2 linked regions of the Sus scrofa genome follow. The protein of the gene in region 1 interacts with the protein of each later gene in a pairwise test. Links are inferred from orthologs where the notes say so. Each region holds a gene or a part of one and is shown in the gene's direction. Other genes may lie near its edges.

Evidence for each region.
Region 2: the proteins of PCBD1 (region 1) and TFF3 interact in binary tests that used the Homo sapiens proteins (3 or more experiments, as listed by UniProt). The two-hybrid records come from large-scale screens. The link is inferred for Sus scrofa from reciprocal best matches to the Homo sapiens genes PCBD1 and TFF3.

What each region holds. Positions count from the first base shown.
Region 1 is NC_010456.5:73,804,807-73,808,551, reverse strand, and holds the start of PCBD1 (pterin-4-alpha-carbinolamine dehydratase), read left to right. Parts: upstream 1-1,304; 5' UTR 1,305-1,389; coding exon 1,390-1,392; intron 1,393-3,745. UniProt on the Homo sapiens protein: Involved in tetrahydrobiopterin biosynthesis. Seems to both prevent the formation of 7-pterins and accelerate the formation of quinonoid-BH2. Coactivator for HNF1A-dependent transcription.
Region 2 is NC_010455.5:205,641,655-205,645,399, reverse strand, and holds the start of TFF3 (trefoil factor 3 precursor), read left to right. Parts: upstream 1-1,066; 5' UTR 1,067-1,107; coding exon 1,108-1,189; intron 1,190-2,779; coding exon 2,780-2,926; intron 2,927-3,745. UniProt on the Homo sapiens protein: Involved in the maintenance and repair of the intestinal mucosa. Promotes the mobility of epithelial cells in healing processes (motogen).

The sequences.
Region 1 (3,745 bases):
TAAAACGAAAAACTATTAAATATAGAAGAAAACACAGGAGAAGAATCTTTGTGACCTAGGATTAGGCAACGATTCCTAGTTACAACACCAAAATACCAATCCATAAAAGAAAGAGTTGATAAATTGGGTGTCATCAAAATCAAGAACATTCGCCTTTTGAGAGACATTGTGGAAATGCAAACGAAATATGCCAAATCACATATCTGATAAAGTGCTTGTATTCAGAATGAAGAACTCTCAAAATGCAATAAGAAAACAAACTATTACTTTTAATGGGCAGGAAATTTGAACAGGCAATTCACCAATGACTGACCATTGGCAAATAAGCACATGAAAAGATATTTAATATCATTAGTCATTAAGGCAACTGAAAACCACCAGTGAGATACTACTGTGCACCAATTAGAATGGCTAAATAATAAAAAGATTGGCTTAGGAGTATTCCCTCTAGGTGAAGGTGAAGCTGCACTGTCATATGCCACTGGTGGCAGTGGAAAATAGTCCTGCTACTTTGAGAAGCAGTTTGGCAGTTTCCTAACAACTTATAAGCATATACCTGTTCTATGACCTAGCCATTCCATTCCCAGGTATTTCCCCAAGAAAAATTAAAGCATATATCCAAAGACTTGCAGGCAAACTTTCCTAGCAGCTTTATTTGTACTAATCAAAAACTGGAAACAACCCAAAGTCCAACAAATTGTAGTATATCCATTACAATATAATACTGTAAAATAATTTCTACTTAGTTATCAAAGGGAAAACTATTGATATATGCATCGACATGGGTAAACCTCAAAGTAATTACGCTGAGTGAAAGGAGGCAGATCTAAAAAGAGGGTAACCCATATGATTTCCATTTACATAGCCTTCCAGAAAACGCAATCTAATCTATAGTAAAGGCAGCAGGTCAATAGATCTCTGAGGAGGGAGGAGGCAATTTAGGGCTTGTGGTCATGTCCTCGTCATCGTGGTGATGGTTGCAAGGATGCATACATATGCCAAAAGGCATCACATTGTACACTTTAAATACGGGCAGTGTATTGTGTGGGTTTATTCCTCAGTAAGACGTTTTTCTAAAAAAGAAAAAGCAATCTGGCGTCGAGGGTCACACAGCTGGTAAGGGGCAGTGCGCGATGCATAAACCCAAGTCTGCGTTAGGAGCCCACGCGTCCTTAACCTCTGACCTCGCTGCAAGCTTGGCAATGAGGAAAGTCCTGGAAGGGAGCCGCAGCTGGAGTTAATGATTACGGGTGGGCGGCCCCTGCCCGGCCTCGCTCCCGCCCCGGGCGGCCCGAGCGCTGCCCCGCCCGACGGCTTCCCGGTGCGCCGGGCTTCGCGCTCTTCCGCTCCGCTACCACCTGCTGATCGCCCGCGTCTGCGCCGCCCGGCATGGTGAGGGGCGGCCGGGTTAGGAGGGGGGTGCGGCGGAGAGGAAGGGGCCCGCCGAGGCCGGCCCAGGGGACCCGGCCAGGAGCGGGGGGGCGGTCCCTCCCAGCTCCTTGCACAGCAGCCGCGCCGGCCTGGGGGAATCGGGGTCTCTGTCCCGCCGGTACCCCACCCCGCCAGTGGTCCCCTGGGGGAAAGCTGAGGTCGGAAGCGGGGCGGTGGCAGGTCTGGGTGACGGCGAGGCGGGAGCCCAGGCTTTCCCCGGCTCCCTGGCCATCTGTGCCTGAGGCCTCAAGGCCGCGCAGGCCCTGCTTAGAGAGCTCTCCCGGTGGGGGTGGGGCAGTGAGACGGGCAGCGGGGAGGGGACGTAGTGAGCCTGCAGACGTAGCCCTCCTTGGTGGCATGATTCTGTTCTACACTGGGGGCTAGGGTAGGGACCGGGTGGTCGGGGGTGGGGGGAAGCCTTGTGAGTGTGCAAAGGGGGCGGGGCGACTGAATTTGCATGTGCCTCTGCCTGCCTGTTTACTGCCCTTCTCTCTTGCACTTCTGCTCAGCCCTGTGTGCTGCCCCCAACCTGAGAGCCAGCCCCCCCGGGGGGGCACCTAGTTTGAGGCCTGTGCCCAGCCACGGGTGACATGATTGCTCAGAGTCATCCACCGTCTGCCCTGAGCTTTCCCTGAGGGGAGCCTTAGGCCCTGTGCTCAGATGTGGCCTGGGAGGATAGGCCAGCCTGCACAGCAGGAAGCTTTACTAAGCAGTCAAAGCATTAGGCCCCAAAGCCTTAGGAGCGACTAGGGCTGTGATGAGGCCTGGGAGGGCATTTTGAAGGCTATGACTTGGGTGGAGGGGAGGTGGTGAGTGAGCCCATTGTGAGGTGCACTGAGGCCCCAAAACTGTAGGCTGCAGGTAATCAGTAACACCCACAGCCTCCCTGGGCCCAGGCTGAGGCCAGGGCTGACCTGTGACTTACTAAGCAAACACACCCCTGCCCCCTCTCTGATCCCAGATCTCAGAGGGGCTCCTCAGTTCAGCCCCAGGCTGTGAAATGTGGGGGGGGGGTTCCCGAAGATTCTAAAGAGGAAGGGGAGCCTCCTAGGAGCTCCTCTAGTGCACATGTCCTCCTTTCAGAGCCAGAGAACTAGAGGCTGGAAACACGGACCAGGTTTATCAGCCACTGAGACAGGGCCGGCTCTGGAACAGAGACGGGTTTGGGCGGTGATGCAGGACTCCACTGCCCTCGCTGGCCTTCTGGAGCCCAGGAGAGGAGACAGACCAAGCCGGGGTTGTCCAGAGGGAATGTGCGCTTTCAGGAGGGAGAACAGGTTGAGTTATAAGAGCCCAGTTCTACCCCAAACCTAAAGGCCTGTCACAAGCCTACTTGCCCCCAGGAAGTCTCCTTTTAAAAAGGCAGATGACATCGGGAGTTCCTGTCATGGCACAGCAGAAACAAATCTAACTAGCAACCATGAGGACTCAGGTTTGATCCCTGGCCTTGCTCAGTGGGTTAAGATCGGGCATTGCCAAGAGCTGTAGTGTAGGTCACAGACACGGCTCCGATCCTGTGTTGTGTGGCTGTGGTGTAGGCCAGCAGCTACAGCTCTGATTAGACCCCTAGCCTGGGAACCTCCATATGCCGTGGGTGCGGCCCTAAAAAGACAAAAACAAAAGGGAGATGTCATTCCTTTAGTAACAGTGGAGTGTCCTAAAGTGCCCCTTGGCTTCTCTTGCTGATCACTGAAGTGGCAGTTCTTGTGCCCTTTTTCAGCTGTTGAGCCAGGGGAGATGACCGCCTCAAGCCCACCTGGCTTCCAGTCTTCCAGGACCGCCTCATAAAAGCCAGATTAACCTTCCTCAAGTGCTCTCCCCAGGCCTTACTGACTCACTTCTCATTTAGCACTTACACTTTCCACCCTCAGGTAGTTCTACTTTAGGGGCCTCAATACTGGGATCCCTTAAGCGCCTCCACCTGGATCTTCTTAGAGGTGGAAACTGACCTTTGCTTGCTTCTGTTCTCTGAGGGTTCCACTCACGGCCTGAACTGCGCCAGTTTGGGCAGCGTGCACAGCGGGTGATAGGCTGGGGCACTGGCCTTGCCCTTTGCCCTTGGCCAAGTTACATCTGCTTTGGGGGCTGAGCTCTGTGGCTCTGGCTTCCTGAGGTGACACAATAGAAAAGAAGGTGAGAATCTGAGAAACGTAGGCCCAGAAGCTGGGAACCAGAGGCTGCGTGGGAGCACGGTGCAGTACGCACTGGGAGGTGCTGCCGGGGGTCGTGGACTCTGGTGTGACTAAGAATTGCCTGGAACATGTCTTAAGCCTGGGTCCCTTTGCCTGGCCCCAGGCATGCAGACGGAGAGACC
Region 2 (3,745 bases), on another chromosome or scaffold:
TCCCGTCTCATTTAAATATGCTGTTATAAAGCAATTTTCAAGTTATAGCCTTCACCTTTTAAAAAGAAACAAACTGAGCAAAGGTGTAGAATAAGTTCTCAGTTGTGCTAAAAATGTGCTTAAATAGAGAACATTCTAGAAAAATACCTAAGACAGTGTTAAACTGGACATCACCGGAGAAAAGGTTGGTGGTGGGGATTCTTCTGTATTGTCTGATTGAAAAAAAAAAAACAGCTGCACATATTACATTTTTATGAAAATGTTTTGAATAAGTTTATTCAATTTATTTATTAAAATGATGATAAAAAATCATTTTTTCTAGAGAAAAGCAAAAAAGAAAGAAAAGGAACTTCCCCCTTTCAAAATTGGAAGAGAGAAATGAAATCTCTATGCACCACATACCTGACTTGTGGTTGTCACCTGTTTTCTTTTTTTTTTCAGGGCTGCAGGTGCAGCATATGGACGTTCCCAGGCTAGGGGTCAAGTCGGAGTTGCAGCTGCCGGCCTACACCACAGCCACAGCGACGCCAGATCTGAGCCTTGTCTGTGACCTACCCTGCAGCTCATGGCAAGGCCGGATCCTTAACCTCCTGAGTGGGGCCAAGGATAGAACCTGTATCTTCATGGAGACTAGTTGGGTTTGCCTCTGCTGAGCCACAATGGGAACTCCTGTTACCACTTTTCAAAAATCCGAGGCTGGTCTGGGATTAAGTGGCCCGTGAACCCCCTTCACTGAGCAGGGACTCTCCTGGACGGCTCCCGGGTGGGTTGTTAGGGCTAATGCCCAGGCTGGTTGGCCCTGCCCTCCCGCCCCACGCTGAGCCGTGAGCCTTTCCTTGGGGCCAGGCCAACACCTGGTAGAGAGGTGTTGGCTGGCAACTGGAATCTGCCTTCGCTGCTTCCTTGTTACCAAAGCCTTTGGGATGGACAAGCCTCCAGGGGCTTTGCAATCTGCAGGGAAGAGCAGGTGGGGCCGGAGCAGGAGGGAAGGGCTCCCCAAACAAACAGAATCCGGATGCCTGTGCAAACATGGGGCTATAAAGAAGTCTTTGCCTCGGACGTGGCACATCCGCTGAGCGGTCGGTTCCCCAGAACCTGCCCGTGACCATGGAGGCCAGGATGTTCTGGCTGCTAGTGGTGCTCCTGGCCTTGGCGTCCTCCAGCTCTGCCGGGGAGTATGTGGGCCTGTGTGAGTACCACTCTGTCTCCCCTACTTGGCAGTGGCGGGGAGGGGCCAGGGGCAAGGCGGGGCCCATGGCAGGGGCCGCTGGGCTCCAGGGCTTCCTGTGGGCTTGAGGAGAGGGACCAAGCCCCACGTCCCTTTAACCACTACCATTTACCAGACACCCAGGATTTCTCTCAACAGCCTTGCAAACGGGGTCTTGCTGCTCCCATTTTACAGACAAGGAAACTGAGTCTCTGAAAGTTAGTAACTGGCCCTCCCAGTCAGTGTTGAACTCAGGATTCAAGCCCAGGTCTGCCTTCCTTGCTAGAGATTTCCGAATGACAGTACAGGTCTTTGCATAGTATTCTGGCGGAGTCACAAAACAAAACAGAAAGATCCATGACAATGAGTTCTGGAACATTTTCCATCTGGTCAAACCTTTTTCTTTTAGCCATTGCGACTCGGGGCAAGGGCTGTGGTTGTTCCCGTCCCCTGAGTTAGGGTGTGGCTTTTATCAGGTTACCTGCTGAGCCATCTCAAGCAGTGGCTCCCAAACGGGGCACCTGTCAGCATCACCTGGAAACTTTGCCAACGCTTGAAGCTTGGGATGTGCCAGTCATATCAGAATGTCTCTGGGTGGGATCAGGTTTCCATGGAGTGAAAGACCCCAGGGCCAACAGAGTTTGGGAACCAGTGGAATACGGAATTACAGACTGGCTGCAATAGAAGACGAGCTGAGATTTCGTGTGATTTCTATTTTCCTGAGGAAAAGCACAGACAGGCAATGAGGCCAAGCAGACTTTTGCTGAACTTTAGACAAAGACTTAGATGAATATCAGAGTTCCCTTTGTGGCTCAGTGGTGACAAACCCCTCATAGTATCCATGAGGCTGTGGCTTCGATCCCTGGCCTCGCTCATGGGTCGGGTATCCGGCGTGACCATGAGCTGTGGTGCAAGTTGCAGGTGCGGCTTGGATCTGGTGTGGCTGTGGCTGTGGCTGTGGTCTAGACCGGCAGCTATAGCTCTGATTCAACCCTTAGCCTGGGGACTTCCATATGCCGTGGGTGCGGCCCTAAAAAGACAAAAAAAAAGAAAAGAAAAGAATATTAGAGATCAAAGAAAGTTCAGGGAAGGTGTGACAGGGGAGCAGGGAAGTGCAGAAAATGGCATATCCTGTGATTCTTCTTCTCTCGAATGTCTACCTATTATGCTACTATTTATTTTTGAAAGGGGGAAGTTTTATTGATAGAACAGCAAAGGGGACATTTGTTTCCGGGTTCAGGGGCCCCTGGATTCCCGTGGGTGCCTGCCAGCTGGAGGGAACCCAGGCCTTCTTGCCTTCCTGAAAGGTGCTGAGGGCACCCAAGTGAGAGACCCGGGGCAGCAGGCCAGACTTCCTACAGAACGTCTCTTTAAAATCCGTGTGCTGAGAGAGGGTCCTTGGCCAGCAGGTGTCGGGGTGGGGGATGGGATCACATCATTTGAACTCAGGAGCGGGTGGGGGTGGGGGTGGGAAGAGGGCAGGTTTGCAAAGCGCAGCCTCCAGACCAACCCCCCCCCCCGCCCCCCACCAGCAAGGGCTCTGACTCGGCTTTGTCGCTTTGTTTGGGGCAGCGGCGAACCAGTGTGCCGTCCCTGCCAAGGACAGGGTGGACTGCGGCTACCCCCAGGTCACCCCCGAGCAGTGCAACAACCGGGGCTGCTGCTTCGACTCCAGCATCCCCGGGGTGCCCTGGTGCTTCAAGCCCCTGCAGGAAACAGGTGAGCCGGCCCCCAGGAAGCCGCACACGCCTGGGCCTAGGGCGGTCCATTGGCCCAGGGCCTGGTGCAGACGAGAATCATTTCGGAAAGATGTTCGAAGTCGAGGCGCTATGTAGAGGGACCTGGTTTGAAACTACCCCAGAGAGAAATGGACAATCCGCAGTGTGAGAGCTGGGCTGACATTCAAGGCCATTTTCAGCAAACCACCCCCCAGTGTGTCTGTCACTGTGACACGCCCTCGCTCTGGGTGTGGAACCCGGCGTCACTCCCCGCCCTGCCCCCACCACGAGGGGCACCCCCTCTTTCATGGGTGCAGTGGGGTGCAGGATAGCCCCCTGGGGGACCCCGTGTCGGGGGCAGAGGGCAGTGCACAGCTGATTGGCCATCCTGCCTCCCTCGGGGCCCCCCCAGCTCCCCATATGTTGGGCCTGGAGGTCGCCGTGAGCCACCTGGTAGCCCAGGTGCCAGCTGAGCGCCTAAGACAGTTACTTAAGGCCCTTCCTGGAACCAGCACCTGGGGGCTGCTCCTGCCCTTTGTCCCCAGAGGAACGATGAAGGAGACCGTCTTCCAGCTGGTCCCAGCTCCCTGGTCAATGCTTCCCAGCAAACCCGGGCAGAGGTCCAGACATGGCTCTGGGCCCGCAAGGGAGTCACCTGTTGCCTTTGTGCTGGCCGTCCCCACCCGTCCAGCTCTTCAGTCTGGGACAACCCTTCTTTGGGTCCTGGCAGTGGCCCAGCCCAGGGGCCCAGTGGGGCGTGTGGCTTTTCTCCCACGAGGTGGGGACTCAGGCCCTCCCCAGGGAATTGGCCGAGAAGGTG